2 linked regions of the Anolis sagrei genome follow. The protein of the gene in region 1 interacts with the protein of each later gene in a pairwise test. Links are inferred from orthologs where the notes say so. Each region holds a gene or a part of one and is shown on either strand. Other genes may lie near its edges. The genes, in order: POLI and REV1.

Region 1 (16,460 bases):
TGAACGGAATTTCCCAGCTGTTCTGGAAATCACATTCTGCCTGTTTATATGAATGAACTAATCAATGCAGTATATCATCCAAAGTTCTGGAACTACTGAGCGTGGGAGAAGGAACTGAAAACGAACACATTCAAGGAAGTTAGCAAAGAGTTGCCTTTCATGTGTTGTTGAAGGCTTTCATGGCTGGAATCACTGGGTTGCTGTGAGTTTTCCGGGCTGTATGGCCATGTTCCAGAAGCATTCTCTCCTGATGTTTTGCCAACATCTATGGCAGGCATCCCCAGAGGTTGTGAGGTCTGTTGGAAACTAGCCAAATCGAGTTTATATATCTCCAGGGTGGGAGAAAGACCTCTTATCTGTTGGAGGCAAGTATGAATGCTGCAACTGATAACCTTGATTAGCATTGAATAGGCTTGCAGCTTCAAAGTTTGGCTACTTCCTGTCTAGGAGAATCCTTTGTTCGGAGGTGGTAGCTGGCCCTGATTATTTCTTGTCTGGATTTCCCGTGTTTTTGAGTGCTGTTCCTTATTGACTATCCTGATTTTTTTTTTTAGTTTTTTAATATTCGTAGCCAGATTTTTTTTGTTCATTTTGCTTCCTGCCAAGCTTTGAAGCTGCAAAGCTATTCAGTGCTAAACAAGGTGATCAGTTGCTACATTCACACTTGACTCAAGCAGACAAGAGTTCCTTCTCCCACCCTGGACATTCCTCAGATACATAAACCCCACTTACCTAGTCTCCAACAAATCTCACAACCTCTGAGGATGCCTGCCATAGATGTAGGCGAAGCGTCAGGAGACAATGCTTCTGGAATATGGCCATACAGTCTGGAAAGCTCACAGCAACCCAGTTGTCTTTAAGTTTCATTTTAGATGTGTTTTAAAACTTTTGGGTCCATGCTCTTAATATAAGTATAATATTTTAAATAAAAAATAAATAGTTGTGAGAAATGACAAAAAAAATTGATATAGGTAAGTATGGCGCCTGTATCCACAGCATTTGCATTGGATACACTAAAAAAAAAAGGAAATCAGTAAAGCCAATTTAAGGGAAGGACTTCTGGCCCAAGAATACAGTCATACCAGAGGATTTATACAATGCCTGGAGAGAACATACTTTGCTGAATGCGGATAAATGAAACTGCATGTATCTGCTCCATGGGTGCAAGTGTTGTACTATGTATCTTTATGATGTTAAAACTTCATTAAATGTCAAAGGCTTTCATGGCCGTAATCACTGGGTTGCTGTGAGTTTTCCAGGCTGTATGGCCATGTTTCAGGATAATTCTCTCCTGATGTTTCGCCCACATCTATGGCAGGCACCCTCAGAGGTTTTGAGGTTTGTTGGAAACTGGGCAAGTGAGGTGGGAGAAAGAACTCTTGTCTGCTTGAGGCAAGTGTGAATGTTGCAATTGATCCTCAGAGTTTGCCTCGCTACCATGGCTCACAACCTCTGAGAATGCCTGCCATAGATGTGGGTGAAACATCAGGAGAGAATGCTTCTGGAACATGACCACACAGCCCGGAAAACTCACAGCAAACCAGTTCATTAAATGTTGATAGTTGAAAACTTTCGGTTTCTGTTTTTTCCTGAGAGTGTCATAAAGGCAAAGTCCATGTTTGCCAAAGGCATAGCTTGAAACTCCATGCCTTCCTCTTCTCCAAAACTCAAATTCCTAAGAAAGCCACATAGCAGAAGTACAACAGAAAGAAGGGTAGGGACTCAGATGTTTAGAAAGTTACTAACCATGGACTGTAGGCTATGGATCACAGTTCCCAGTATTCCCTCCGGCCAGTATCTTTACTGGGAAAATTCTGGGACATGTAGTCCATAGGCCCAGAGCACTGTGGCGTACTATAAAGACTGGGGTGGAAATCACGTAGTCCTCCAGAGACTGCTCAGGCATTTCTCCAAGTCATTACTCACTAGTGGCTATGTTTGTCAAAGAGATTGGAAGTGCATCTACACTGCTGAAGTATCCAACGTTTTTGCTTATCCAATGTTCTGCCAGCTCACTTATGTTGGATAAGTGAGACTCTACTGTATCCTGTTTTACCCAACACCAACTGCTAGGCATGACCCCAACCACCATCAACTATGGGACATTACAAGACCATGTAAAACTACCACTCCCACAATTCCATAGCATTGAGCCATGGCAGCTAAAGAGTTGTCAAATTGCATTAATTCTACAGCGTTTCTCAACCTAGGGGTCGATACCCCTGGGGGGCAGTCGTGACGGGGGTTTCATAGGGGTAACCAAAGACCATCAGAAAACACATATTTCTGATGGTCTTAGGAACTCCTTTGGCAGAGAAGGCTAAAGATCTCTCCACCTGTCTTTCTCTTCCTTTTTGGAACCATATGACAAATCCTTCCATCAAAAGCCCTTCTCCTGCTATGATTGTGGGGAAACTATAAATCCCAGCAACTACAACTCCCAAATGTCAAGGTCTATCTTCCCCCAAATGCACCAGTGTTCACATTTTGACATACTGAGTACTCGTGCCAGGTTTGGTCCAGATCCATCATTGTTTGAGTCCACAGTTCTCTCTGGATGTAGGTGAACTACACCTCCAAAACTCAAGGTCAATGCCCACCAAACCCTTCCAGTATTTTCTGTGGGTTATGGGAGTTCTGTGTGCCAAGTTTAGTTCAATTCCATCGTTGGTGGAGTTCAGAATGCTCTTTGATTGTAGGTGAACTATAAATCCCAGCAAGTACAACTCCCAAATGACAAAATCAATCTCTGCCCGAACCCCACCAGTATTCAAATTTGGGGGTATCAGGTATATGTGCCAAATTTGATCCAGTGAATGAAAATCCATCTTGCATAACAGGTATTTACATTACAATTGATAACAGTAGCAAAATTGCAGTTATGAAGTAGCAACAAAAATAATGTTATCGTTGGGGGGTCACTACAACATGAGGAACTGTATTAAGAGGTCGCAGCATTAGAAAGGTTGAGAACCACTGGTATAGATGCACCCTGGGACAACATACGATTTCTACCTTTAATCTCCCTTGTTACGGTCCTAAAGCAAGGATAGACGACGTGTACTTGCAATGCAGATATAGTTGGACTGCAATTCCCATTATCCTTCATTATCTACTCTTGTTTGCTAATGGAGACAACTCCAACAACATTGGTGAGCTACATGTGACTTAACTACTGGTACAATGTGATAGAGGTTGCATCCCTTAAACTGGAATGTAGCAGTTGGAGGAGATGCCCAAACATTTGCTAACAAGTTTCAACATGCACACCAGGCAGCAAAATCTTGTTGAATTAATTAAAAATATGACTCAGGAAACATACAACACATCATGCTTTATTTTAAACATGGGAGTTTATTATTTCAGTTTATGATTTCAGCTCATCCAGCTACATCCATAGATAATCTTCTTTACATTTATTTTCCAAAAGACCAATGTATTTTTGGACTAATTGCTCTAGACTCTCAGTTAACCAGAAAACAATCAACCAGAACTCTCAAGCAACAGGCAAAAACATCAAAGAATTTTTTTTGTCATGTCAGGAGCGACTTGAGAAACTGCAAGTCGCTTCTGGTGTTAGAGAATTGGCCGTCTGCAAGGACGTTGCCCAGGAGACGCCTGGATGATTTGATGTTTTTATCATCCTTGTGGGAGGCTTCTCTCATGTCCCCACATGAGGAGCTGGAGCTGATAGAGGGAGCTCTTCTGCCTCTTCCCAGATTCGAACCTGCGACCTGTCGGTCTTCAGTCCTGCCGGCACAGGGATTTAACCCACTGCGCCATCGGGGGCTCCTATCAAAGAAATAACAACATTTAATAAAAATGCCATTTTTATAATATAGTAAAACAGTATATTAATCTTTATCTCTATTTTTCTTAATTTGCTTTTAAATACTGTATTTCAGTATCAATATCAAGTCAATACAGAGTTTATAATATGGTATGGTACATCTATTTTTAATAGTAACTCACAAGGAACTAGAAACTACATCTATCTAGCACAGTGTTTCTCAACCTGGGGGTCGGGACCCCTGGGTGGGGGTCACGAGGGGGGTGTCAGCGGGGGTGCCAAAGACCATCGGAAAACACAGTATTTTCTGTTGGTCATGGGGGTTCTGTGTGGGAAGTCTGGCCCAATTTTATCGTTGGTGAGGTTCAGAATGCTCTTTGATTTTAGGTGAACTATAAATCCCAGCAACTACAACTCCCAAATGTCTATCTTCCCCCAAATGCACCAGTGTTCACATTTCGACATACTGAGTATTCATGCCAGGTTTAGTCCAGATACATCATTGTTTGAGTCCACAGTGCTCTCTGGATGTAGGTGAACTACAACTCCAAAATTCAAGTTCAATGTCCACCAAACACTTCCAGTATTTTCTGTCGGTCATGGGAGCTCTGTGTGCCAAGTTTTGTTCAATTCCATCGTTGATGGAGTTTAGAACACTCTTTGATTGTAGGTGAACTATAAATCCCAGCAACTACAACTCCCAAATATCTAGGTCTATTTTCCCCCAAATGCACCAGTGTTCACATTTCGCCATACTGAGTATTCATGCCAGGTTTGGTCCAGATCCATCATTGTTTGAGTCACAGTGCTCTCTGGATGTAGGTGAACTACAACTCCAAAATTCAAGTTCAATGCCTACCAAACACTTCCAGTATTTTCTGTCGGTCATGGGAGCTCTGTGTGCCAAGTTTTGTTCAATTCCATCGTTGATGGAGTTTAGAACACTCTTTGATTGTAGGTGAACTACAAATCCCAGCAACTGCAACTCCCAAATGACAAAATCAATCTTCCCCCAAACTCCACCAGTATTCAAATTTGGGCGTATTGGGTATTTTTGCCAAATTTAGTCCAGTGAATGAAAATACATCCTGAATACTAGATATTTACATTACGATTCATAACAGTAGCAAAATTAGAGTTATGAAGTACCAATTAATTTTATGGTTGGGGGTCAACACAACATGAAGAACTGTATTAAGAGGTTGTGGCATTCAGAAGGTTGAGACCCACTGATCTAGCATCTCCCAATCCCCATGGGTGACGGCTGACTAAGAGTCTACTGTATGTATTTCAACTGTCTTCTTCAAGTGCCACATACAATCAAATAGCAGAAATTCCATTTACTAGACCAGAAAAGAAATGGCTAAGATCTCTTAAGTCCCAAGGAACACAGAAAATGAGACACAGCCCAGATCCCGGCCATAGAAGGCTTTAAAGGTCATCGCCAGAGTTTCAATTGTTTGGAGACGCAATGGCAACCAGCCCAGTTGTTGCAACAATGAGGTTCTGTGCTCCAGCGGTGACATAGGCAGGCATGAATTACGTGTGAAATGTAATTTATGTCTGCGCAATGTGCATGTCGCTAACAGGATGTTAGGCCTATGAGTACAAATGCCAGATACTCTGACGGAGGGGAAACATTCCATCCATTTCGCACTAAAAATTCTCTTCCGAAAAGATTTCCTGTCTCTCCAGATTATTTCTGTTTTTATACTAATGGGAGCATTTTTATTGTAGAATTAACACATTTCAACTGTTATGGCTCTCAATGCTATACGAGGGTTGAATGAAAAGTAATGCCTCCACCATGCTTTGGTTACATCCCGTTTAGATTACTGCAACGCTCTCTACGTGGGGTTGCCTTTGAAGACTGCCCGGAAGCTTCAACTAGTCCAACGCTGCTAACAAGAGCGGGGTACGGGGAGCATACTACTCCTCTGTTGCGCCAGCTCCACTGGCTGCCAGTTAGCTTCTGGGCACAATTCAAAGTGCTGGTGTTAACCTATAAAGCCCTAAACGACTCCGGCCCAGTTTACCTGTCCGAACGTATCCTCCCCTATGAACCATCAAGATTGCTAAGATCGTCTGGAGGGGCCCTGCTCTCGGTTCCACCGGCCTCACAAGCACGTCTGGTGGGGACGAGGGACAGGGCCTTCTCGGTGGTGGCCCCTCGACTCTGGAACCCCCTTTCACTGGAGATCAGAACGGCCCCCTCTATCTTGACGTTCAGAAAACAGGTGAAAACTTGGCTCTGGAAACTGGCATTCGAAGAATGAGTCAAGTTCTGTGATATGGGTGGATGATTTTATGATGACGACTGACCATTGTCATTATATGTTTGTATTTTGTTTTTAATGTCTTAGTGTAATCTAGAATACGATGTTTTTAATGATTGTTTGTAATATTGATGTTGGAAACCAGCCTGAGTCCCTCGATGGAGGTGAGAAGACTGGTATACAAAACTGCTAAATAAATAAATAAATAAATAATACATTTCTGAGTGATACGAGGATCGTCCTGAATCAATCTGTCAACCTTTTGCTTGTGAAACTTGGTGGTTTCTGTCACAGGACGTCTAACTCTTTGTTTGTCATGCAAGTCAGATGTTCCCACCTCAACATCTTTAAACTTACTCGCCCAACGATGCACAGTACTCACATCAACATAATCACCATACACAGCTTGCATTCTCCAATGAATTTCTTTTGGAGTGACACCTTCTGCTGTCAAGAATTCAATGACTGCACGTTGCTTAAGTCTGCGCAGGGTTCCATAGTTCACCTTTAACAACACAACTGTTCAATGCTAAGGCTTCCCACTAAAATGGAACTGTAGAGGAGAGTTTACTGAGCAAGCCAGTACCTGCCGCATACCAGTACTGCCATCTGTTGAGGAGCTATGAAGGTGGAGGCATTACTTTTCATTCAACCCTCGCAGATCAGGCATGGGGGCCAACTTGGGCCCTCCAGGTGTTTTGGACTTCAACTCCCACCATTCCTAACAGCCTACCGGCTGTTAGGAATGGTGGGAGTTGAAGTCCAAAACACCTGGAGGGACCAAGTTGGGTCATGCCTGGATATAAAGCCATGGGAGTTGTAGTTTTACAAGGTCTTTAGCCTCCTATGCCAAAGAGGGCTGGTGCCTCACCAAACTACAACTCCCAGGACTCCATCGCATGGATCCAGGGCGTTTTAAGTGATGTCAGAGTGCACCTAAAGAAAGGGCACATTCTCATTCACACGAGACGCCCGTGACACGCGTCATGGCCTGGGCGGAGAAGGGCCTGCCTGAACGGTCTTCACTTGGTCCGTCGCTCCTCCTTCCAGGGAAGCTGACCTCGCCATTGGCCAAGACCAGGGCAGGCGAAGAGAGGCGGTGTTTGGTGCCCGAAATGGAGGACGAGGAAGAGGAGGAGGAAGAAGCGGCATGGTTGCGCCCAGACTCTCCCTCCGGTGCTGCGAGGAATCCTCCCCCTGCCTGTAAAGACCCTCGACTCCTTTTAGCAGCCTGGGAGGAGGATTTGGGAGTGAAAGGCTCGTGGGAACCGAGGCAGGAAGGCACGGAAAGAGCGCACAGGAGGCGCCTGCGTTTGTTTGGCTGACTGGCAACAAGCTTCCCTTTGTGTTGCAACTAGCTTCCCTTTACACCTGGAACAGGCCTGCGCAAACTTTGGCCTTCCCTCCAGGTGCTTTGGACTTCAACACCCACAATTTAGGAATTGTGGGAGTTGAAGTCCAAAACATCTGGAGGGAAGACCAAAGTTTGCCCAGGCCTGGTGTAGAATCAAGCCAGTTTGATGCCACTTGAACTGCCAGGGCTTATGCCAGTGATTCTCAACCTTCCTAAAGCTGTCACCCCCTCAATACAGTTTCTCATGTTGTGTTGACCCCCAATCAAAAAATTATTTTCATTGCTACTTCATTGCTGTAATTTTGCTACTGTTATGAATTGTAATGTAAATATCAGATACTCAGGATGTATTTTCATTCACTAGACCAAATTTGGCACAAATTTCCAACATGCCCAAATTTGAATACTGGTGGGGTTGAGAGGGGATTGATTTTGTCATTTGGGAGTTGTAGTTGGCAGGATTTATAGTTCACCTACAATCAAAGAGCATTCTGAACTCCACCAACTATAGAATTGAACCTAACTTGGCACACAGAACTCCCATGACCAACAGAAAATACTGGAAGGGTTTGGGGGGGAGTGACCTTGAGTTTTGGAGTTGTAGTTTACTTACATCCAGAGAGCACCGTTGACTCAGTCATGGATCTGGACCAAACTTGGCATGGATACTTAATATACCCAAATGTGAACACTGGTGGAGTCTGAGGGGAAAATAGGCCTTGACATTTGGGAGTTGTGGTTGCTGCGATTTATAGTTCACCTACAATCAAAGAGCATTCTGAACCGCACAAATGATAGAATTGGGCCAAATTTCTCACACAGAAACCCCATGACCAACAGAAAATACTGTGTTTTTTGGTGGCCTTTGGTGACCCCTCTGACACCCCCTCACGACCCCCCCAGGGGTACCGACCCCCAGGTTGAGAAACACTGGCTTATGCTATGGGAGTCTGTGATGTGTACGGCCAGGGATCTACTTTTGCTGGGGTTTGGGGCAGTTTTTCACATTCACCTAGGTCTTATGCCCCACACCCTAGCAAATGTGAACCTGCAGAGCACAGTCCAGAGTGACTCCCAGGTGTTTGCATGTGCAGCAATGCTCCGAGCTCAAGATGCTTGCCTGTTCTTAAAATGAAAAGCACACATCTGGATTTTAGATGGATTAGGAATCGGCTGTTTTTCCTGTAATAGGCAGTAAGAGCACCTAAAGCTTTGGAGAACTTCTGTTCAACCATTTCAAAGCTCCCTGCTTGAGTGGTGATGGCATGATCGTCACATGTTGGCCCATGCCTGATGTAGAATCAATCCAGTTTGATGCCACTTCAACTACCATGGCTCATGCTTTGGAAGTCTGTGATGTGTACTGTCAGGGATCTACTTGTGCTGGGTTTGGGACACAGGTTTTCACATTCACCTGGGTCTTATGACTTGCACCTAGCAAATGTGAACCTGCATCTTCAAAAGGGACTGTATCCCCATCCAGTGCTGGCTTGAGATGCTTGTCTGTTCTTAAGATAAAAAGCACACATTTGCATTTTAGATGGATTAGGAATCAGTTGTTTTTCCTGTAATAGGCAGTAAGAGCACCTAAAGCTTCTGAGAGCTTCTGTTCAACCATTTCAAAGCTCCCTGCTTGAGTGGTGATGGCATGATCGTCACATGTTGGCCCATGCCTGGTGTAGAATCAATCCAGTTTGTTGCCACTTCAGCTACAATGGCATATGCTATGGAAATCTGTGATACGTATGGTCATATCTACTTTTGCTGGAGTTTGGGGCACACATTTTCACATTCACCTGGGTCTTATGCCCTGCACCCTAGCAAATGTGAACCTTCATGTTCAGAAGGGACTGTAACCACATCCAACATTGGCTGAATTCGTATTCTCATCAGTCTGCCTTTTGACTGACCACGACTGCCTTGATCTTACCTGGATTAAGTTTCAATTTCTTCATCCTCATCCAGTCTATTACTGATGACAGGTACTGGCTTGGATCCAAGTCAAAAGCAAGACAAATTGTGTTAGACTAAATCAGTCCTACCATATTATTTATTTATCATGTCAGAAGCAAGTTGAGGATACAATTAAAATGCATCTAAAAAGACAAACAAGGTTAAAAAAAACTTGGCATTACACTAAATGTCCTTTGACCAGAAGCCGGCCACTTGGAGTACCTCTGGTATTGCCATGAGAAGGTCGTCCATTGTAGGTAGTCTGTGGTTTGCTCTTTTCCAAACTTGTATGTTGTGGACTCCATTTTGTAGCCCCATTTCTTAAGGTTATCTCTGCATCTCGTGGTATTAGAGAGCTATCTGTTCAGCACCTTCCAGGTCATCTTCTCTTCTATGTGCCCAGGAGGGAGTCTCTCATTTGGTATCAGCCACTGATTGAGGTTCCGGGTTTTAGTCTGCCACTTTTGCACTCTCGCTTGCTGAGGTGTTCCTGTGAGTATCTTTCTCGATCTCAGGAGGCTGTTTTTTTATTTAAACCAATAGCATGCTGGGCCGGAAATGTCAATGCCTTGGTCCTTTCATTACTAGCTGATACTTTCCGACAGATGTCCAGTGGTGCAATACCGGCTAAACTAGTGGTTCCCAACCTTTGGTTGTGATTTGGATTTCAACTCCCAGAAATCCCAGCCAGCTTACCAGCTGTTAGGAACTGTGGGAGGTGAAGCCCAAAACACCTGGAGGCCCAAAGGTTGAGAACCACCTTTGAATTCCTGTTTTCAGTCTGCCTTTTGATTAACCATGGCTGCCTTGATCTAGATTAAGTTTTAGTTTCTTCATACACATCCAGTCTATTACTGATGACAGGTACTGGCTTGGAACCAAGTCAAAAGTAAGACAAAGTATGTTAGACTAAAACAACCCTACACTGACTTTATTTTATCCTACTGTTTTTTTTAAAAAAAACCTTTGATTTCTTGTAGCACGGCTGCTAACTCCAAAGAGTTTCTGAAACTCAATGGGCATTGCAGCTAGTGCCCATAAGGACTAATAGGGCAGGATGGCGGATACATGGGAAACCCAAGTTGATAATAGTGCCACCAGATCTTTCTGGTTTGGTACTCATCCTCTCTTGCAATGAGACCACAGTTGTTGTTTTACGTTTGCAAGCAGGCTTTGACATACAGCAGCCCTTTGAGTTTGGGAACTCCAGGAGCATCAGTTATCAATAAACGTACTCTGGTGTTGCAAATGATGGCTTCATTTATTGAAACCCATCCACCTCCACATTTGCAGATTTAAATCTTGTGTATTTGATTATTTACGCATTTGACAAATATCTTCTCTTTTGGTCCATCATAGTGTCTCTTTGGTCAGACTGATGGAAAATGACCATGGAGTTGCACTAGAAGACCAATAGATAATCTGGTTCGGGCCCAGGCTATTTGACTAATTGTATCTCCGCCTATAAACCAGCAGAGGCTGGATGGCCATCTGTCAGGGGTGATTTGAATGCAACATTCCTTCTTCTTGGCAGGGGGTTGGACTGGATGGTCTCTTCCAACTCTTTGATTCTATGATTCTATGGAGATGGTGGTCAGTGGAGGAGGCCCTGCTCTCGGTCCCACCCCCATCCTAAGCATGGCTGGTGGGAACGAGAGAGAGAAAGGGTCTTCTTTGTGATTGCCCTCCCCCCCCCCCCCCACACACACACACCTCTGGAACACCCTCTCTAAAGAAATAAAGATGCCCCCTTCCCTTCTCTCCTTCAAAAAACAACTGAAAACTTACTTTTGCTTATTAGCATACAGAGAGGAGGAGGATTAGATGAGGATATGCCTCTACTACACCTCTGATTGAGATCTGTTATTGTTCTCGGGCTTTGTAGACCCTGTCAGCCTCATTAACATCACTGGCCACATAACCTACTTACATATTTTAGTGAACGTTTATTGGTCTCTGTAAACTGATGTGGATGTTTGATGTTCTTGTTTTAGGTTAAATATAATTTAGCTGATAGGTTGCATTTTGTTTAATTTTTGTGTCATGTTATGTTTTTATACAGTATGTTGGGTTATTTTGCATTGTTATGTTTGTATTTGTTGTTGTATTGAGGCATTGAATGTTGGCCTTTTGATTGTTGGAATCTGCCCTGAGTCCCCTTGGGGAGATAGGGTGGAGTATAAATAAAGGCTTATTGTTGTTGTTGTTGTTATTATATGGCAGTGTAGAAGGGGCCTCAGATGAAGGTTTTTTATTTGTAGTTTTTCCACTTTCAGAGGGGTCCTGTTGACCAAAATCCCAATTAAAGTGGAGGTCTGCTATATATCCATGTGCAATAACCTGAGATTAGTTATTTGGCTTCTAGTGCAAGATCTGACTTGATTTCCTCACAGACTCATTCTTTGCCTTTCTGGTAGTATTATATCTGTTGAGGTTTCCTCTAGTATTACATTTTAGATGAACACAACTACTGTAGTTCAACTCCTTTACTCTAAATGTCTGAAGGGCAGTTTCTCATGTTGGTCCCAAAAGCTTCCACAATATTGTACTTGTTGTTCATTCATTCAGTCGTCTCCGACTCTTCGTGACCTCATGGACCAGTCCACGCCAGAGCTCCCTGTCGGCCGTCACCACCCCCAGCTCCTTCAAGATCAGTCCAGTCACTTCAAGGATGCCATCCATCCATCTTGCCCTTGGTTGCCCCCTCTTCCTTTTGCCTTCCACTTTCCCCAGCATCATTATCTTCTCTAGGCTTTGCTGTCTCCTCATGATGTGGCCAAAGTACTTCAACTTTGTCTCTAGTATCCTTCCCTCCAGTGAGCAGTCGGGCTTTATTTCCTGGAGGATGGACTGGTTGGATCTTCTCGCAGTCCAAGGCACTCTCAGAACTTTCCTCCAACACCACAGCTCAAAAGCATCGATCTTTTGATATTGTACTTACTTTTCTGTATTATTGAGGGAGGGTAGGTAACCTGTGTGTATTCTAGTCTTGGCATTTCAGTGCACAGTCTGCAATATACTGGTATACCTAGTGAGATATGAAGATTTGTGGGATTGGGTCATGGGTGGGAAAAGCATAGCCCATGGGTCACATACAGTCTTTGGGGCCCCAAATTGTGCCCCCTAAAGCATATAAAAGCCCGCCCACCCCCAAATTTAATTTGTAATTGGGGTGATTTCTGAACTATTACCTTTCATTGTAGCTTGTCATGGCAAATGGGTGTCAACAGAAGGCTCCCAGAACCGAATCATTGTGCATCTGGATTTGGACTGCTTTTATGCGCAGGTGGAAATGATCTGCAACCCTGAATTAAAAGGCAAACCTTTAGGTAAGCTTACATTTTGTTGAATATTCTTCCAAAGGGCACCTCTGTCTTTCCAGGAGAATAATTATAGAATCATAGAGCCAGAGTTGGAAGGTACTCCCAAAGACCATTTAATACAGTGTTCCTCAACCTTCCTAATGCCGCGGCCCCTTAATACAGTTCCTTATGCTGTGGTGACACCCCCCCCCCCAAACCATAACATTATTTTGTTGCTGCTTCATAACTGTAATTTTGCTACTGTTATGAATCATAATGTAAATATCTGATATGCCGGATGTATTTTCATTCACTGGACCAAATTTGGCAATATTATTATTATTATTAATAATAATAATAATAATAATAATAACACACTTTATTTATAACCTGTCACCATCTCCCCAAAGGGGATTTGGGGCGGCTAACATGAGGCCAAACCCAAAATACGCCCAAATTTGAATACTGGGGCAACTACAACTCATTTGGGAGTTGTAGTTGCTAGGATTTATAGTTCACTCACAATCAAAGAGTATTCTGAATTCCACCAATGATGGAATTGAACCAAACTTGGCACATAGAACTCCCATGACCAACAGAAAATACTGGAAGGGTTTGATGGGCATTGACCTTGACTTTTGGAGATGTAGTTCACCTATATCCAGAGAGCACTGTGGTCTCAAACAATGATGGATCTTGACCAAGCTTTGCACAAATACTCAATATCCCCAAATGTGAACACTGATGGAGTTTGTGGAAAATAGACCTTGGCATTTGGGAGTTGTAGTTGCTGGAATTTATAGTTCACCTACAATGAAAGAGAATTTTGAACCCCAGCAACGATTGAATTGGGCCAAACCTCCCACACAAAACAGAAAATACTGTGTTTTCTGATGATCTTTGGCAACCCCTCTGACATCCCAACCCCCAGATTGAGAAACGCTGATATAATACAATTCTCTGCTAATTTAAGAATCCACAGCCAAAGCATCCCTGAAAGATGACCATCCAACCTTTGCTTTAAAACCTCCAATGGAGGAGTGTTCACCACCCTCAAAGTTGAACTATGCCATGTTCAGACAGCTCTTAACATCTTTAAATTATTCCCAAGGTTTTAATAATTTCTAAGCTATTTTTATCTCCTTTCCAGTGGAACCCATACATTTGGATAGAACCATCTGCTGCTTTGGTGGATTATTCACTCTCATTTGTTAGTATTAATTACACTTTTTCCTATACACAAGAACTTGGTTATCTTTCCTATCCTCCTGACATTCCCCTTGTAGCCTACATTTGTTGTCGTATGCCTTCAAGTTGAAAGATATGTCAGGATGTGCGAAATTATAGATTTCCCCCCTACTTAATTGCATATTTGTCTCTTTCAGGTGTACAGCAGAAATACATTGTTGTCACCTGTAATTATGAAGCCAGAAGCTTTGGGGTCAATAAACTCATGTCTGTGAAAGAAGCAAAAGAAAAGTGCCCTGACTTGTTGCTGGTTAATGGAGAAGATTTGACAAAGTATCGGGAAATGTCTTATAAGGTTACAGGTATTGCCTCAGTCGTCGTTATTAGTGCATAATGGTAGAGTTCCTTGCTTCTTCTTTTTTCCTGGATGTATAGGGCCATTCCACATAGCCATATAACCCAGAATATCAAGGTAGATAATCCACAGTATATGATTTGAACTGGGTTATCTGAGTCCACACTGCCATATAATCCAGTTCAGTGCAGATTGTATACAGCTGTGTGGAAGATGCCATTGTTATATCTGTCCCAGAGGCTTAAGCCATAGGTACATTTCTTAGGCCCCTTCCACACTGCCCTATATCCCAAGATCTGATTCCAGATTATCTATTTTAAACTGGATTATATGAGTCTCTACTACCATATAATCTGGGATGTACAGATAATCTGGGATCAGATGCTGGGATATAGGGCAGTGTGGAAGGGCCCTCTGTCTCTTTATTTGGAGCTTGACCATAACGCAGTGGTGGAGCATGTGCTTGTATTCATAAGGTCCCAAGTACATTGCTCACAATCCCTTGAACTTCAGGCGTCTAGGTTCTAGTCCCAGAGTCTTTTCCTGGTTTTGAAAATGAATGTCACAAGAGACAGAGCTTAACAGTTAGTGTTATTGGCTGTGAGGATGTTGAGCCTGAAATGTGCATTTTTTCAGGTCTGAGTTTACATCTGGATATCTGGGGCCAAGGCCAGATACCTGGTAACTTGATCAATGAGCACATCTGCTCATTGGTGAGCATAATGAGGAGCACTAGGAAAGCTGCCATGAAATTTTTCATGCTAGGTTGTGGACAGCAGTGATCCTATCTAGTGAGCCAGGAGCCAAGGGATGGAGCTAGTAATTAGCACCAGAGGACAAACCAGGAGACAGAATTGAGAAAGAAGGCAGAAGTGAAAAGGCTACATCAAGACAGGAGATTCATGGTATAAAATCCCACGAGTTGTAGTTTTACAACATCTTTAGCCACCTCTGCCAAAGAGTGCTGGTGCCCCACCAGTCTACGAATCCCAGGATTTCATAACATTGAGCCATGGCAGTTAAAGTGGTGTCAAACTTTAATTCTACAGTGTGGATGTACCCTTCCCCTGTCTTCAGAAAAGGATTCCATAACAGATGTCTAGAGATCCTCAGTAGACTTGAGAACAGAAAAAAATCTTTCTTTCTGTCTCCTGATAGGAAATATGAATTTTGGCTCTGTAGTGAGAAAAACTGAAAATCCTCATATCTTTTAACTGCAGTTTAAGCTACCCTGTTTACTCAGAAGTTGTGTTCAGCAGGGTGTATTTCCAGGAAAGTGGGCATAGAGTTATAGCCGTATAATATGAGGGTTGGAACTTTAATAGTGGCAACACTTCTGTAAAGACGTCACACAACGAAACCAAAGGATGTAACATATACCACACATTAGTTACATACCTACCTTACCTCTGAGCAAAAAGACTTGCCCTTTTTACGTCACGCGCATGTGGAGTGATGCAAAGAACTGAGTTTCATATTAGCTTGTGGTCTAAAGTAAGTGTTGAGTGTTGTCACGATGTTTTCGAAACAAGAACAATGGAGTTGGATAAAGATTGAATGTGTCTGAGGTCGTACACATGACAGTGTCATCAAGGCCTTCAAGAGGCTTGCAGGGAATCTGCATTGCCTTACAGAACATTGGCAAGGTGGGTAAAAGTCTTCAACGCAGGATGCCAAAAATGTGGCAGACATGCATCGGCCAGGTTGTCCTAGTGTCAACGAAGCGGAAGTGAATGCTGTTGCCGCACTCGTAGACAGTGATCAACACCATATGATTCGTGAGCTGGCCCAAAACACAGGATTTATGCATACAACTCTGCTCCACATTCTGAAGGAATGCCTAGGCATGAGAAAAATTGCTTCACGATTGGTTCCACATCATTTTTCGGAAATGTAGTAATGATGCTACTCGTACCCACTTGAAAATCTATGAGCGCGAAGGAGAGGCTTTCTTATGCCGTATCATTATACTGGATGAGACTTAGGCCAGATCATACCAGCCAGAACTGAAACGCCAATAGAATGAATGGCGTCATTACGGGTCACCACGAAGTTTGAAATTTTGTCAGAACCCCAGCAATGTAAAAGTATACCGTTCCCCCACATCAGACCGTCAATGCACAGTATTACTGCTCATTTTTGGAACACCATCTCAGACCAGCTTTGAGAAAAAACCCACGACACTTTCTGCAGAACGCTCCTATTATTTTGCATGACAATGCTCGGCAACATGCAGCGCAAG
Region 2 (16,829 bases), on another chromosome or scaffold:
ATCAATTCATTTTACTATTTATATCCTGCCTTTTCCCCAAGTCGGGGATATAAAGCCACTGAGGGTGCATCTATACTGTAGAATTAATGTAATTTGATATAACTTTAACAGTTATGGCTCATGGCATTCTTTAGCTTTCTCTACTATTCAAACATCAAGCAAATTTAAAACCACCATAATTCCAGTAAATAAAAAGGACAATGTTTTAAACCTCTGACTGTGACAGCCAACAATACTACCATGACTACAACTACAACTACTAAAATTTATTTGTTATCTACCTCTCCTCACGGCTCAAAGAGAGGAGACAACATGGCTAAAACGGAGATAAATAAAAAAACATAAAATACAGATAAACACAAAATAAGATTAGAACACTGATATTAATGAAATGTACATTTAAAATTCATAGCTTAAAATTGCTTGTATTTTCATTTCTTTTATCGTGTCAGAAGTGACTTGAGAAACTCCCTACAGACTTTCTCATTCACTGCTTCACTCCATAATTTTTGTTTAACTTGAGGTTTAAATAGCTAAATGAGAAAAATAAAATATCACCTGTATAACCATTGACATAAATAGCAACACCATCGAAGATACCAGAGGAAGTTCCATCTTTTTGTAGTTGCATAGCTGCGTCTGAACGGAACTGATCCTCCAGTTTTTGAACCTTGGCAGACATATATCCTCCCTTGTTTTTAAATAAAAGATAAGATATTGTTTACATAGATAGCAAGTGATAATGGTATCAACTGCCACTGAAAACGACTTGATATATATTTAGCTTTTCCTGTGGAAAACTTTATTTGGTCTAAAGTGTGTAAATGAAACAACTGCACACATATACTGTGTACGTGTGTGTGTGCGTGTATGTAAATGAAACACACACAATTTAAGCTGCTTCAGAAAACCTGTAAGAATATTAATGCAAGGCATTTTCCTAATCAGATTTCTCACATGAACTAAAATGAATGGATTAACATCATGTTCTAGTCAGTCAAAGGATAATAATATTTGGCTACACTGTAGCAATAAAACAGTTATGCTAAAATCATCTCACCACTGAAAAGCATGCAATTATAAAGTTACATCTATAATTTTGTTAGAACATTATCAGCTTGAACATACCCAGGCTCCCCAGCCATCTCTGTCACTGGCACGTTTTCTCCAACCACTTTGCTTCATAATGAAGCTTCTAACTAGGAAGGAAAAAAAATAATACAAAAGGTTATTTTCAGTATCACTTCTAAAATAAAAAATAACGCTAGTTCTAGAAATCTTTATACTGGAAAGACTTTATATGATAGTAAGTGCACTAGCTATCTGTTCACAAATATTAATTCACATGTATGAAAATTCCTTAGAAAACTTTTAAACCTGGGGATACAATTTCTGGGGGCTAAATATGCCCTTGAGGCTGCAACCTCATCTTAAAAATGGTTAAATATTTGTGTTTTTTAAAATGAAAAATGCTTCCTTATGCTTATAAAAGTGAAAAGTAAAGGTTTACCCTGACATTAAGTCTAGTCGTGTCCTGCTCTGTGGGGTGGTGCTCATCTCCATTTCTAAGCCAAATGGTGTCTGTAGACACCTCCAAGGTCATGTGGCCAGCATGACTGCATGGAGTGCTGTAAGCTCTCCTGTAGAAGCCGTACCTATTGATCTACTCACATCTGCATGTTTTCAAATTGCCAGGTTGGCAGAAGCTGGGTCTAGCAGAGGGAATTCACCCTACTCCCTGCATTTGAACTGTCAACCTTTCGGTCAGCAAATTCAGCATCTCAGTGGTTTAACCTGCTACACCACCAGGGGGACCTATACTTATAGTATGGGGGCAAATTTGCTTGATTTTGGCTTTCTCCAGGGGCTACTTTAACTCAAGATACTTTTTTAAAACCAAGACTCCTGGATTTGATTTCTCTCTGCCCAACCTTGCTAAGCTGCTCAGGGGAAGCAAAAGCATGGTAAAATTGCCCTGCAAGTGCGCACCAAAATACCTTGGCTTCCCTGCTTTGTCTTCCAAAATTGTGACCAGGGGTGACATCAGATGACTTGCCATCACCATTTTGGAGCAGATGGTAGATTCTGTGGCAAGATGGAGAGGGTTTTGAGGAATTTGTTTTTGGGAGGCTTTGGGTTTAATTTTGAGGTGCAAACTGCAACAAAAGTTAATAAAATTTTTGGTGGGCTTCGGACGTTTGGGGGGGGGGGAGCAGTGATGTTTTTGGTGGGTTCAGGGGCCTCATTGTTGTATTGCAGGCAAAGATAAACTTGATACCATTCCTCAATTAACAATTGTTTATTAATGATATAAGGTGAAAAGAGAAAAGACTGGAATCAATGTTAAAATCTTATGATAATCAAAGTCATAAAACTATGACACTGAAATAAATATCGTTAAGGAAATGTACACTGGGAAGAGTCATGAAGATCCCACAGGGCTTATCTTCTGTACACTCATTAATTCCCTTGCCCTCCCTCAGCCACAAGGAAGTATGAACACCTGCAACAACAAAGCACTTCAGCACCTTAAAATTAACGACGGTACTATTATGGCATACACTATTGCTCAATTCTTTATTATGTAAGTCTTGGCAAAGCTTATATATTAAGACACATTGCATAAGCTTACACAGGTTGAGTATCCCTTATCTGAAATATTTGGGACCAGAAATGTTTTGATATTATTATTTTATTTTTATTTTGGAACATTTCTATTTGCCTATACATACATAATGCGATGTCTTTATATGAATCAACATCTCCTGCCATTTCTATCTGAGGATTCATGCAAAACATCTATCAGGACCTTGAACTCCTTGATTGTAAGTAGGGATTACAACAACCCACAAAGATGAGCAGGGCAGAATGAAGGTTGTGTCACTTCTCTATCACTTTAGTAATTTGATATTGACAGCTTCCAAATCCATGATGGAAAATGGATCAATTATGGTTTCCCCAGGGAGCCAAACAAGAAAGTGTAGTCTTGCCACAACCTGCCTGATATTAACCCCTTATAAAGTCAAATAATCTAAGCTCCATAAACAAGAATTCAGATGAACGGTATAGAGATGGCCTTCCATGACTGTGATTTTTATATACCATATCCTAAAATATCTATTAAAAATTGCTTATTTTATCTAATTCTTTTACAGTTGAAATCATTCATCCTACAAAACATTCGAATTATGCATGCTTATTATTTTTCCCAATGCCTCCATGAAGTAGGCTATACTAAATAATTTTTTACCAGATCTCCACCCCAGTCTTGGATAAGATTTTTCTCCCTTCTTAGTTACTTTGGAAAAACAAATTCTATAAATCCCCTAAGAAAAATGAGAAAAATCTTATCTTTATCTTGTGTCCACCATTTGTCAAACATATAAATATGGTCCCTGGTTTACAGTCTGTTCAATTTCAAAAGCATTTACCACAGCATATGAACTTTCAGCAGCTTTTAAAGAGGTCTTCTAAGTGCCCAATTGAGAAAAATTGTGAGCGACTACAAAAAGATTATGTATGAAACTAGAAGGTAAGCAGAGTTAAGTCTGTTTAGTATTTGGATGAAGGACCACCAATGAATGTCAGGTCCTGTAAGCTAAATTGCAGAGTAAGGAACTGGGAATGTCACCTCTGAGTATGTCTTGCCTAAGAAAATCCTATGAAATTCCTGATATCACTATAATTTGACAGGTTACTTGAAGAAAGACAGATACACAAATGCAGAGGCTCTCCCACATTCATTCTGTACATCATACTGCTGGGATTTCCCTACAGAAATTGAGGAATGTCCACCAAGTCAAACACTGGTTGGAAAGAGGTTAGTGCTATCTTTCACTGGCACTGTCAATGCTAAGGGAGGCCAGAAAAGGTGGGTAGATAATAAATAGTAAAGAAATAAGAAAGACTTCAGAACTTATTTAGTTAACATACCACTTTATATAACATTAGGTAAATTATATTTGTTTCTGTTATGGAACACAGCTTTATTTCTGTTTATGTGACATAAAATCAGCAGGTATTATCTGCAGGTACTCTGCAGTCCAACAGGAGGAAGAAACACTAAGGGTATGAGCAAAAAGAATCTGCGAACCCCACCTCCTCCAAGATGAACTGAACCACCTAAACTGGGCTCTACAGGCCAATGATACTCCACCTCAGACATCAGAAGAGCTGCAAGACCAAGAACAAGCCACAAGAGTAAAGATGAAGATCCACCCAGAGGAAAAGTGTTCTTGACATACATCAAGGGAACCACTGACCGCATAGGGAATCTGATGAGGAAACACAACATACAAACCACCTACAAACCCACCAAGAAAATTCAACAAATGCTACATTCAGCAAAGGACAAGAGGGATCCTCTCACCTCTGCAGGAGTCTACCGTATTCCGTGCAGCTGTGGACAAGTCTACATAGGGACCACCAAACCCAGCGCCCAAACACGAATCAAGGAACATGAAAGGCACTGCAGACTACTTCAACCAGAGAAGTCAGCCATAGCAGAGCATCTGATGAACCAACCTGGACACAGCATATTATTTGAGAACACAGAAATGCTGGACCACTCTCACAACCACCATGTCAGACTACACAGAGAAACCATTGAAATCCACAAGCACGTGGACAATTTCAACAGAAAGGAAGAAACCATGAAAATGAACAAAATCTGGCTACCAGTATTAAAAAACTAAAAAATTACAACAGCAAAAGAACAGAGAGTAAACAATCAGGCACATCAAATCACTCTCAACAAAAAATTCCCCCCAGCCACTTCCAAGCCATTAAATGCTAATCAAGGTGGTCAGTTGAAACATTCACACCTAGCTCCAGCAGACAAAAGTCCTTTGTCTCACCCTGGTCATTCCACAGATATATAAACCCATTTTCCTACTTCCAACAGACCTCACTACCTCTGAGGATGCTTGCCATAGATGCAGGCGAAACGTCAGGAGAAAATGCCTCTAGAACATGGCCATATAGCCCAGAAAAACCTACAACAACCCACTAAGGGTATGGTTGGGAGGAAGCATGCAAACCATGAAGAGAGAGGAAATGCCATAGCTTTTACTGGGTAAGTCACCTTTCGTGTGAACGAAAGGTGACATATGGGGCAAAGGACACTAAGGTGTTATAGAAAAGAGTAATGAATGTCTTCCTCCCCTTCTTTTCTTTTCACTTTCCAGTCACATTCTAAGGAAAGATTGGGGGAAGATAGAGAGTTGATTGGGTTTGTGTATAAAACATCAAAATCTACAGGGGTAATTTTGTAGCCAAGTACACTTTCATAATTTGCTGTATATGTGGATTTCTCTTCTTTTCCATACGAGTAAAAGGCAAATCTATTATAATTAATAAAACATGTCACCTCCATTTTGTGTGCTTTTGAGATTGGAAGGATCATCTCCAAAAGGACCATCAATCAGAGCTCACAACTATTTTTACCAAGTGAACTGTAAACCTTGAGTAGCACTCCTGTTATCCAGAATTTCATGTTTCTATTGGGGGTGGGATTACAGGCAAGTCTGTAGGAAATAACAGGTGGAAAGTACAATTGTATTATTAACAGTGGCTATACACAAAACTTGTTCTAATTATTCAAATATCCTGAATGAGATAAATGAACTATCACAGAATGTGTGAGAAGAATATATTATCCCAGGAGAATCTGCTAGTTTCAAAGTTGACTTTGTGAATGAACTGCAATGATCTCTCTCACATTTCTTCATTTTACAACATTTTCCAGAACTGTGAACCTCAACTGCCTACAGTTGGAGGCTGGGTCGCAGTGGTCCTTCACTGTGCACAGGCTTTCTTGAACAAAGAAGACTCCACATGCACTGATTCTAGAAAACTTAAATGTTATTGGGGTGAATCATGCAGCTGAGATCTCCTTGCTCAGAGAGGACTGGTACACGTGTGGAACATCACACAACTCACATTCAAAGGAAGGCATACCTGGCTTAAATGTATTGTGCTACATTGCTAGTTCTGATCAACATATCCCTACATGGGATCCCATTCCAAATAACACCATTTCAGAAGCAGGACAATGTTTGTGCTTAAATACTTTAAAGCTTATCTTTACATAAGATTTACACAAGTAAAGGGGTGACTATGCTACAGTATTAATGTCAAGCTGTTTTTAAAATTACAGTTATTTTTTTTAAAATGGCATGCTCATTTGATACCCTGGAAATCCCAAATACTGAGAATGTGACAATGCAAAATATTCATTGAAAGAAGAGATTGAACCAAGAATGGAAAAAGCAGCATGTAATTTCACTGACAGCTTCCTTAAAAATAATGACAGGTTAGTACTAGGGTTTATGCCTAAAGACAATCTTATAGAAACATAAGGAATTTAAGTCTCAATGAATACAATGGGCCTTGTTTCTCAGTAAACCACACAAAGCCCAGCAAATAAAAGATGGGGGCCTCTATTACAGTGGGAAAAAGGACAATGTCAAGGAAAAAGTCTATTTATTTATTTACCCTATTTATACCCCATCTTTCCCTACCCTGAAGGGGGCTCAAGGTGGCTTACATATAGGCAATTATTCAAAGACAATATAGACAACAATGTATGTGGAAGCCGTTTTCTTTGTTTTAACAAAGTTAAAGTAAACAACAGTGTCCAGATACTACAGCGTCTAATACATTGTGGTTTCGATCCAATCTATGAATCTACTTCTTGGTGAGTAAGCAAAAAGGGAATGGACCAAGATATTTGTCTGATCTTTTTGTCCTGAAAGAATAATTCACATTAATGCTTTATTTACCCTCTTGCTAGAACAGCGGTTCCCAACCACAAGAACTAAAATATGGTCCGCGGCTTCACCGTTACTACACTGTTGCAACAAGAGTGACTAGTCTCACAAAACCCTCTTATAGTGGTGAGGCTATATGGTTTTCTATGGGTGAGCAGATGGCATTCGTTCTCAATCAGAAACTAGAGCTGATGTGGTCTATCCAATGCAATTTTCTGGATTGGCACTCCAAATAACCAAACTGAAACTTAAGTTGACCGAAAACTGATTCATAACCCTTTTGGTACTAATGTTGGAGAGTGGTCTCTGGACAAAAAAGATTGGGAGCCACTGTGTTAGAAGGAAGGGACTGAAATATGCAAACCCATAGGCTCCTAAATGCAGAGATGATTGACTTGTGCTCTTATCCTCCAAGACCAGCTCCACAGAACTTCTAACCAGAGTAATGACTATTTTCTCCTTACATTTTCCAGCTTAAAAATCCTTTGAAAAAATCCTTTACTTAGTTTGACACCTTCAATTTTCCAAGCACAGTTATGATATCCTGTTTTATGTAAAGTAGGCTCGTCATCAGAGGATATGGCGCCTTGGTGGTGCAATAGGTCTAACCAGGCATGGGCAAACTTCGGCCCTCCAGAAGTTTTAGACTTCAGCTCCCACAATTCCTAACAGACTCAGGCCCCTTCCTCAGCCATTTAAGTGCTTGAGGCTGTTAGCAATTGTGGGAGCTGAAGTCCCAAAATACCTGGAGGGCCAAAGATTGCCCATGCCTGGGTTAAACCCTTGTGCCGGCTGAACTGCTGACCTGAGGTCGGTGGTTCAAATCTGCAAGATGGGGTGAGCTCCAATCTGTCAGTTCCATCTTCCCATGTGGGGACATGAGAGAAGACACCAGATGGTAACACATCTGGTGTCCCCTGGGCAACATTCTTGCAGACAGCCAACTCTCTCACACCAGAAGCGACTTGCAGTATATTCTCAAGTTGCTTCTGATGCACACGCACACCCTAAAGGATAATTCAGGTTTTACAGTGGTCTTAGAATTAGCCTTCCATATCTTAGAAATGCCAAGCCAGGCTTGATTCAGGAGAGCCTAGAGAAGAGGATAAAGATTTGTAACAACAATAACAACAACGCCTCCTAAGCCTCTTCCAGACAGCCCTATATCCCAGAACATTAAGGCAGAAAATCCCACAATATCTGCTTTGAATTGGGTTATCTGAGGGCCCTTCCACACAGCCCTATATCCCAGAATCTCAAGGCAAAAAAATCCACAATATCTACTTTGTGCCGGGTTATCTGAGTCCACACTCAGATAATGTGGGATTTTCTGCCTCGATATTCTGGGATGTAGGGCTGTGTGGAAGGGGCTCTAGACTCCATTAAAAACCCGCACTTCCTGAGGTGGCCCAGTGCACCACTCCAGCTGCCTGTCAGTCCAGGCAGGGAGGCTGCAGGCAAAGGTTGTACGGAGGAGCCACGGGCACCGATCGGCCGCCATGGTTCCCGGGACGTGCCCGGGTTGCAGACGACGCGCCCGGGGGCGGAAGGCGCTCTCTGCCTGACCGCTGGGCCACCCTGCCTCCTCCGTCCCGCCTTATGTCTGAGGCGGTCCTCCCCTGCTTTGACACCTCCATGCCTCTCATATACACACAAGAGCACACGATTATGGGGCGGCCGGCCCTGGGGAAGGCGCGAGGAGGGCTTGGGGCCTGCTCCGCCTCAGGAGCGGCCAAACGGGAGTCGAGCTCCGCCGCGGTTTCCCTCCCTCCTTCCGTCCTTCCTTCCTCGCTCCTGTCAAGGCGCCTCACCTTTTGCCGCGTCCCTGGGGCGTCGCCGCCGCCGCCTTCCGCGGATCCTCACATCGCGTCCCGCCTCTTTCCTCCTCTCAGGCGCCGCCGACAGCCCTCTCGGCCGCCTCCTCCCCCTCCCCCTCCGCCGCCGACCTTCCTTCCTTCCCTCAGAACACACCGCGTCACGCACGGCGCGCGGAGGAGAGCCTCGCGCCACCAACCGCCTTCCCTCCCTCCCTCGTCGCGCGCACCAGCTGCCGTTTTAGTCCTGGAGAGAGAGACAGAGAGAAAAAAGGAAGAGCGCGCGCCCCCTAGTGGCTCGCGGGCGCTACCAACGGCAACCGCGAGCGAGAGAACTTCCCTCCTTTTTTTTTTCAACCTCCTCCCCTATTTATTTATTTCTTTATTTTATTTTGAAAGCGGGAAGGAAGGAAGGAAGGAAGGAAGGAAGGAAGGAACCCCCTCTGAAGCGTCCCAGCGTCACGTGACGTCTGGTGAAGACGGACAAGCAAGCCACGCCCCCGTGTCCTTACCTCGCTCGCTTCCCTTTTCCTTGCCTCCACTGCAGCGCCCTCTAGAGGGAGAGAGGCGGTGGCGTCCTTGTGACGGCGCTGCTTGATCTCCCCGGTCGCGAAGGAAGAGGGCCAGCCCCGCCGCCGCCGCACTGAGGGGAGTGCTATATATAGACCCGATGGCTATAGATACACACTGCGCACAGCGACCCCTAGCGGGGCCCGGAGAACTGCAGCCGGAGAGAGTCTGGCGCGGCTTCATTCGGAATACTGTTTGGGGGCGGGGCTTCCTTCCTTGGAGGGTGACATCCCAAAAAGGCAGGGCTGGACTAATCCTTACACAAAATAAACCCGTGCAATAGGGCATCAAATAAAGAGGACTTTTGCCATTGCTGGACTTACCTTGCAAAACTGCAAATGGTGAGTAGAGCCAGGTTAAACAACAACAAAAGATCATAAAAGAAATCAGAAGACATTTCCTTCTTGGGAGGAGAGCAATGACCAATCTTGATAAATTAGAGAAGAGTAGAGACATCACACTGGCAACAAAGAAGATCCGCATAGTTAAAGGAATGGCAGGCATGTAGCCGGGGGGGGGGGGGGGGCTTGAGGGGCTTCAGTCCCCCCCCCCCATTCTCATGGTGGTCCGCGAGAAGGCCTTACTGGTACATTATTTAAACTGTTATGTTTATTCATATCATGATCTGATCACCATGCTCAATATATCCCATGTGCATGGGGGTTTTGGGGTAACGATACAAAAGGTTTGCTAGGGTAGACCCTCTTTCACTCAGACTCAGCCCCCTTCCGAATCAAACTCAGCCCTCCCCCCCCACTCTCCCGAATCAAAATCCTGGCTACAGGCCTGAGGAATGGTATTCCCATAGTCACCTACGGATGTGAGAGCTGGACCTTAGGAAAGGCTGAGCGAAGGAAGATAGACGCTTTTGATACTGGAGGAAGAATCTGAGAGTGCCTTGGACTACGAGAAGATCCAACCAGTCCATACTTCAGGAAATAAAGCCCGACTGCACATTGGAGGGAAGGATATTAGAAGCAAAGTTGAAGTACTTTGGCCGCATCATGAGAAGACAGGAAAGCTTAGAGAAGACAATGATGCTGGAGAAAATGGAAGGAAAAAGGAAGAGGGGCCGACCAAGGGCAAGATGGATGGATGGCATCCTGGAAGTGACTGGCTTGACCTTGAAGGAGCTGAGGGTGGTGATGGCCAACAGGGAGCTCTGTTGTGGGCTGGTCCATAAGTTCATGAAGAGTCGGAAACGACTGAATGAATAAACAACAACAATCATAAAAGACTTTGCAATTCGAAAAAGTAGGAGAATGCCTTTAAAATATAAATAAACACTGACACTATTGTGTTGTCAAAGGCTTTCATGGCCAGAATCACTGGGTTGCTGTGAGTTTTCCAGGCTGTATGGCCATGTTCCAGAAGCATTCTCTCCTGACGTTTCTGCTGCATCTATAGCAGGCATCCTCAGAGGTTGAGAAATGTTAGGAGAGAATGCTTCTGGGACATGGTCATACAGACCGGAAAACTCACAGCAAAACACTGACACTATTCTCTCAACTCCCACCATTCCTAACAGCCTCAGGCCCTTTCCTTTCCCCCCTCAGCCACTTAAGCCTAAATTTGACCATGCCTAGTCTAGATGATTAGATGCAATCAGGGAACCCTGAGGCCCCATTTACACTGCCATACAAAACCCAGATTATCCCTCTCCCATGGCATTATATGGGTCTATGCTACTCTATAATACAATTAATCTGAATTTTAGAATGCAATATGGATGGGGTCTGAGCAAAGCTGTAGATGCTAAGATGATTTGGAGGTCTCTCATTCAGAAGAGAAATTGTATTCAGCATCCTGTTTTGTGAACATTGGTCCACTTCATCATGTTTCAAGGTGGGTGTTTTTGCTAATTATTTGAATGCCTCCAGTTTAGTGGATCTCCTAGAAACCACAAACTTGCCTGTTTCAGGGCAATTGTATCAAATGACTCAAAGCCTGTATTAAACAATGCAGAATTATTTCTAAAACTGTGTGCATACAGAATAACAGTTGCAGTTTTTTTTTGTTCACACATATAAATGTCAGCTGTATTCAAATATAATTTTCATTTGATTGCCATATATCATACAACATTTGGTTATATAACTATACATGCACAACTCTACCATTGACATCTTTGACATCTTTGAAGGTTATCCAACAGCAAACCACAAATTGACCTTTGACAAGTTGGTGACATTTCAGTTTGTAGATCTCAGAATCTGTTCCCAATTCACCAGTTACATGATTGTTTCAAGTAGTAGGTTTGGGGAAAGGGCCTTCCTGAGTCCTTGGAAAACTTCTGCTTGTTGGAAAGATAGACCAGCATATTTTCTTTTTCATGTCAGGAACAACTGGAGAAACTGGAGAAACTGCAAGTCACTTCTGGTGTGAGAGAATTGGCCGTCTGCAAGGATGTTACCCAGGGGACACCCGGATGTTTTACCATCCTGTGGGAGGCTTCTCTCATGTCACCACATGGAAAGATGGAGCTGGCAGGTGGGAGCTCACCCTGCTCCCCGGATTCAAACTGCTGACCTTTCGGTCAGCAGTTCAACCAGCACAAGTGGTTTAACCCAGTCCCCAGGTGTTTTAGCCTACAACTCCCATAATTCCCAGCCAGTTTACCAGCTGTTAGGATTTCTAGAAGTTGAAGGCCAAAACATCTGGGGACCCACAGGTTGAGAACCACTGGTTTAACCCATTGTGCCACCGGGGGGGGGGGGGGTGCTTCTACAGACCAGCAGTAATCTGAATTAATTTAAGGCAGGTTTGCTGTTATTGTAAATTGCAGCAACAATATCACTGTGCCTGTTGCCACATTAAATGAAAGCTTTAGGAGGTCCCTGCACAACATGGTTATCTTTGTCTTTCCCCTCTCCCATGGCAATTGGACACTGAGCGGAAAGGTGGCGATTCATCATTTGGGTGTGAAGACTTACTTTGCACAAATGACCACTGCATGACTGTAGCACTTTGGTGGCTGAGGTGCAGCCATGCCATCTTCTTCGGGCCCTTTCACACTGTACAATTATGACACTATGGTTCCCCTTTAACAGTCATAGGTGTACCCCATGGAACCCTGAGGTTTGCAGTTTGATGAAGCAGTAGAATTCTCTGACTGAGAATGCCAAATACCCCTCCCTAAACTGCAAATACCAAGATTTATATGATGTTGCCATGGCAGTTTATTTATTTATTATTTACAACATTTGTATCCTGCCCTTTTCTATCCTGAAGGGAACTCAGAAAGGCCAGAATGGCCTTATACATCAGCAACAATGTTGAATCCTAGTGCTATAATCCTATAACGTGAGAAGACTCTCTGATTGGACTGGATTCTTCATATTTGATATGTCCAAATTATAGCTCAGTGCCTCTTAAAATGATCTGCAGCACCTACAAATTATAGAAGCAAAGATGTTCTCAAGGATAAATCTGTTTCATTGTCATGATTCTGAAATGCTAACAGATGCCTAATCAGAAAGCTAAATTATCTGATCTGTTCTGTGATTTGTGTACACATGGATTCCTGGATTAAATAACAAAAGCAAAAATAATAACACTGCAGAGTCTGCGTTTAGAGTCAATCCTGCATGTGCATTGATCGATAGCATTGACAGCTGACTATAATGGGTCGAGAGATCACATTAGTAGGATTGTGTATAACACTAAGGTTGGTCTGCTCTGCTCACATGTCTGAGACAAGACAGTACTGCATTGCAGGCACAGCCTAGAGTTTGCATGCAACGCCAGGCCTCTGCTTTGCCGCACTGTACCTGCTTTATCGGTATCATTCATTACAGGACGTTCATAGCTGCTGTCTGCTACAGTGACTCACTTTAGACATGGATACATTTGGGGATTAAAGTGCAAGGATAATCTATGTTTAACACACTGTTGCTGTCAGGGAAAGTAAAGCACGAGGGATGTCTGCTCTGGATGCAACTGGCTTTTACTGACATCTAATGGGCAGAGAGAGAGTTTGCAGGGAGCAAACGTTTAGAAAGTCAACAAGAAAACAACATAGTAGCTTATACTGTAGAATCAGTTATCAACATAGAAAGTTTCAAATTCATTTTGGAATATGCTATTGTGAGTGTTGGTGTGATTTTATTTGAGGCAACATCAGATCATTGTTACAATTGCCACTGACTCTTGCAGAAGGATGTATTTAATGTGTGGGGAAAAAGCATCCCAGGAACTGTATGGGTTAGCAAAATGTATGAAGATATTTCTAGGCGCACCAAGTCCTCATGGTATCTGGTGGCTTCTCTATCAACAGTACAGTGAATCTTCTGTGCATTTTAGTGAGAACTGTAAATAAGCTATCCAAAGTTATGAACACAGGGAAAGGGAAGCATTTAATTCTTTGAATAGCTTATTTAAAACCTAGACTTAGGGCAGTTTCAGACAGCACTAAATCACGGGGGCAAAAAATCCTGGGACTTCAGAAGAGGTCAACATACAGACCTGTTGGTACTGGAATTTCTGCTTCTGTTGTCCAGACTTGATGCTTTGTTGCAAGATTTAGAGCAGTGGTTCTCAACCTGGGGGTCACGACCCCCAGGGGGGTTGTTTGGCCATTTTCCAGGGGTTGCGAAGGCACCTTGGTTAGCCCCGCCCCCTCTTCAAAATGGCTGCCAAACAGCCAGGTACTCCAGGTCGGCTCCTCCTCCTCCTCTTCCCACAGGGCTGCATGGAGTCAGGAGGAGGAGCTTAGAGGCAAAGGCACACAAGGGAGAAGGTACACCATTTTTTGAGACCTTCGACCCTCGCCCCCTGGTGAGCTCGGAAGGGGTGGGGGTTAAGCAGAAGGCTCCCCATATGGGCTGGCTCTTGCTGTCCAATTTTGATCCAGGTCCATCATCGGGGAAGGTCAATTTCTCTGGTGTGGGTGAACTACAACTCACAGAAACAAAGGTCAGTTCCCCCCAAAGCCCTCCAATAATCTCAGCATATCAGTATGTGTTCCAAGTTTGGTCCAATTTATGGTAATTGTTGGAGTTCAGAATCCCAAACCTCTCCAGTGTTTTCTATTGGTCATGGGAGTTCTGCAGGCCAAGTTTGGTTCAATTGCATTGTTGTTGGGTTTCAGAATGCTCTTTGATGGCAGGGGAACTATACATCCCAGCAACTCCCAAATGCCAAGGTCTATTTTCCCCAAACTTCACCAGTCTTCAGATTTGGGCATATTGAGTGTTTGTGCCAAGTTCTGTCCAGGTCCATAGTTGTTTGGGTTCACAGTGCTCTCCAGATGTAGGTGAACTACCTCTCCTGTAATTCACTATCAATTTCCCCCAACCCCCTCCAGTATTTTCTATTGGTCATTGGGGTTCTGTGTGCCAAGTTTTGTCCTGGTCTGTAATTCATTGGGGTCTCAGTGGTCTGTTGAAGTCAGAGCTGCATTGGATGAAGGTACTGCAGCTCTCCCACCACTGCACAATCAAACAGCAACACACACTTTCAAGCCAGGAACAGAACTTTGTCATTATTGACACTTTTTAGAGCCTGGCTGCTTGGCCATTTGTCCAGAAAGATTTGGTTGTGTACTTGTGACATCAAACAACAGGGTGCTGTTCCTGGGTTATATATGTCTGTTCCTGATTGCAATTCTTGTGAAAAGATGTACAACATTGACTAGGGAGCCACAATTTTGTTGTGGCCAGAGAAAAGGTGCCCTCCACACATTTCATGAAGTATCTTGCACACAAACAAAGTTATTGCCTTCTACTCAAGTATCACCTTCATTCTAGGAACCAACAAATCAGGAACAAACATCTAAAACCCAGGAACAAACCCAGATAAAAAATCCCGTGATTTCAGATTGCAGGGACATACAGACATGCGAAGATCTGCATATTTGGCTCAAAATCATGATATTCCCACTCCTGAAAATCTCATGCTTTTTGCCTCTTGTAGCAATTGCTTTCGCGTTTACAGGGAACAGCATCTGGTCCCCTTTCTGTTTGCTGCGGAAGCTCCTGGGATAAAGGTATTGTCTGGACGAGTCCCCAGACTAATATCCAGGAAAGATTTACTGTCTCACAGACATGGAAGGCTACTTGGAGGCTTATACATTACCTGTTTTTACAGTGTAGATATTTTTAATCATCACATAAAAACACTTATTGGCTGCTTGAAGCTTGACAAATTGGCACTTATTCCCTGCTCAGGAGCCAGGTAGACTTTGCAGCAGAAATCCAGCTTGTTTTGATGGGTTAATTGTTCCTTGGAAGAATCAAATTTCCTAGGAAGAACCCAAGGAATGTAGCTGACATGGAACAGATGTTTACCATGCAACAAGGTAACTCAATGAGCTGAAACCAATTGCATTATCTATGCAACCTTTAATTGTGTCTGTAAAGGAAATCCAAGAGTCAATGAGTTGCATTGCTAGCCTGTATATAGATCACTGAATTAAAACCTGGGGCTCTAAAAGAGGGTTACAGCAACTGTGAATGCTTCCAAGAGAGAGCCTTTTGTCTGCCTGGATTTCTCCGCTAGAGTCGCGTTAACCTATCAATCATTGGCATGAAAGATTTGGAATTTCTACTGGAATTGTTGCCTTTGCTTTCACCTTCTGATTTTCAATTAGAAATTGAAAGAGGCTGTTGAGCTTCCAATTGTAAATGATGGTTTGGTCGTAGTCAGTTTGTTGTTCATTTGCTCCATGCAGCTACATGAGATTTTTTGCTTCAAATTACTATACAATAGGGAATGTTATAGTTGAAATGAGATAGGGCGATTTTTCCTGATTATACAAAGGAGATAAATGATTGGAAGAGACAATTTACCAAAGCAAACATCCCAGAAAGGTAATTCAATTTAAAGTATCACATTAAGTATCTGATTATATTTTATGTCTTTGGCTCTGGCAGAAAAATCTTTTCTTACTAATCTTAAAACCAAGCCCAAGGCTGAACTTCAGGGCTCCACACCAGTTTTTAGTTAGTTTTTTCACAACCAAACCGATATTATTGTTTACTGAATTAAGTTACTCTCAGCATAGCAGACAGCCGTTTCTAGTCTCAGATTTCAAACGTATGTGTAACACTGTCTAGAAACATTTGTAACATAGACCTCACCAGCCCAATTTTTGGAGGCTATTTATATTTGTATCTGTAAAATGACTGACATTGCATTCCCGCAAGAAACACATTTGCTGACAAAGAATGCAGACAGCTTCCAGAAAAATTAGATTGGCCCCTTCCACACATCTGAATAAAATCCCACATTTTTTGCTTTGAACTGGAATATATTGCAGTTTGGACTCAGATTACCCAGTTCAAAGCAGATATTGTGAGATTTTCTGCCCTGATATTCTGGGTTATATGGCTATGTGGAGGGCCCTATGTTACAAATGTTTCTAGACCACATAAAGGCATGATACTCCTAATGCACAAACATTTTTCTATTTCAGTACAGTGGGCAATAATAGACTTAGGTAGACATCCTTTATTTTACTTGTAAGATATTTTGAAAATTTTATTGTTCAGATTAATGGTTATGGGCCTAATAGTGGTACACTAGGGATGTTTCATAATTCTGTTGATAATCTTGTTGATATAGAATACAATTATTGGATTACTGGTAATGATTTTCATGACATTTTGGATATCTTGCTAGATAAAAATACATTTCCATCAAGAGAACATTCTTTAGTGACAGCTATTTTACAGGC

Evidence for each region.
Region 2: the proteins of POLI (region 1) and REV1 interact in a two-hybrid assay, tested with the Homo sapiens proteins (2 studies listed by BioGRID). The link is inferred for Anolis sagrei from reciprocal best matches to the Homo sapiens genes POLI and REV1.

What each region holds. Positions count from the first base shown.
Region 1 is NC_090022.1:284,988,051-285,004,510, reverse strand, and holds the start of POLI (DNA polymerase iota), read left to right. Parts: upstream 1-7,044; 5' UTR 7,045-7,052; coding exon 7,053-7,269; intron 7,270-12,576; coding exon 12,577-12,702; intron 12,703-14,060; coding exon 14,061-14,225; intron 14,226-16,460. UniProt on the Homo sapiens protein: Error-prone DNA polymerase specifically involved in DNA repair. Plays an important role in translesion synthesis, where the normal high-fidelity DNA polymerases cannot proceed and DNA synthesis stalls. Favors Hoogsteen base-pairing in the active site.
Region 2 is NC_090023.1:102,769,435-102,786,263, forward strand, and holds the start of REV1 (DNA repair protein REV1), read right to left. Parts: upstream 8,964-16,829; 5' UTR 8,582-8,963; intron 5,526-8,581; 5' UTR 5,369-5,525; intron 2,086-5,368; 5' UTR 1,998-2,085; intron 1,200-1,997; 5' UTR 1,186-1,199; coding exon 1,129-1,185; intron 692-1,128; coding exon 559-691; intron 1-558. UniProt on the Homo sapiens protein: Deoxycytidyl transferase involved in DNA repair. Transfers a dCMP residue from dCTP to the 3'-end of a DNA primer in a template-dependent reaction.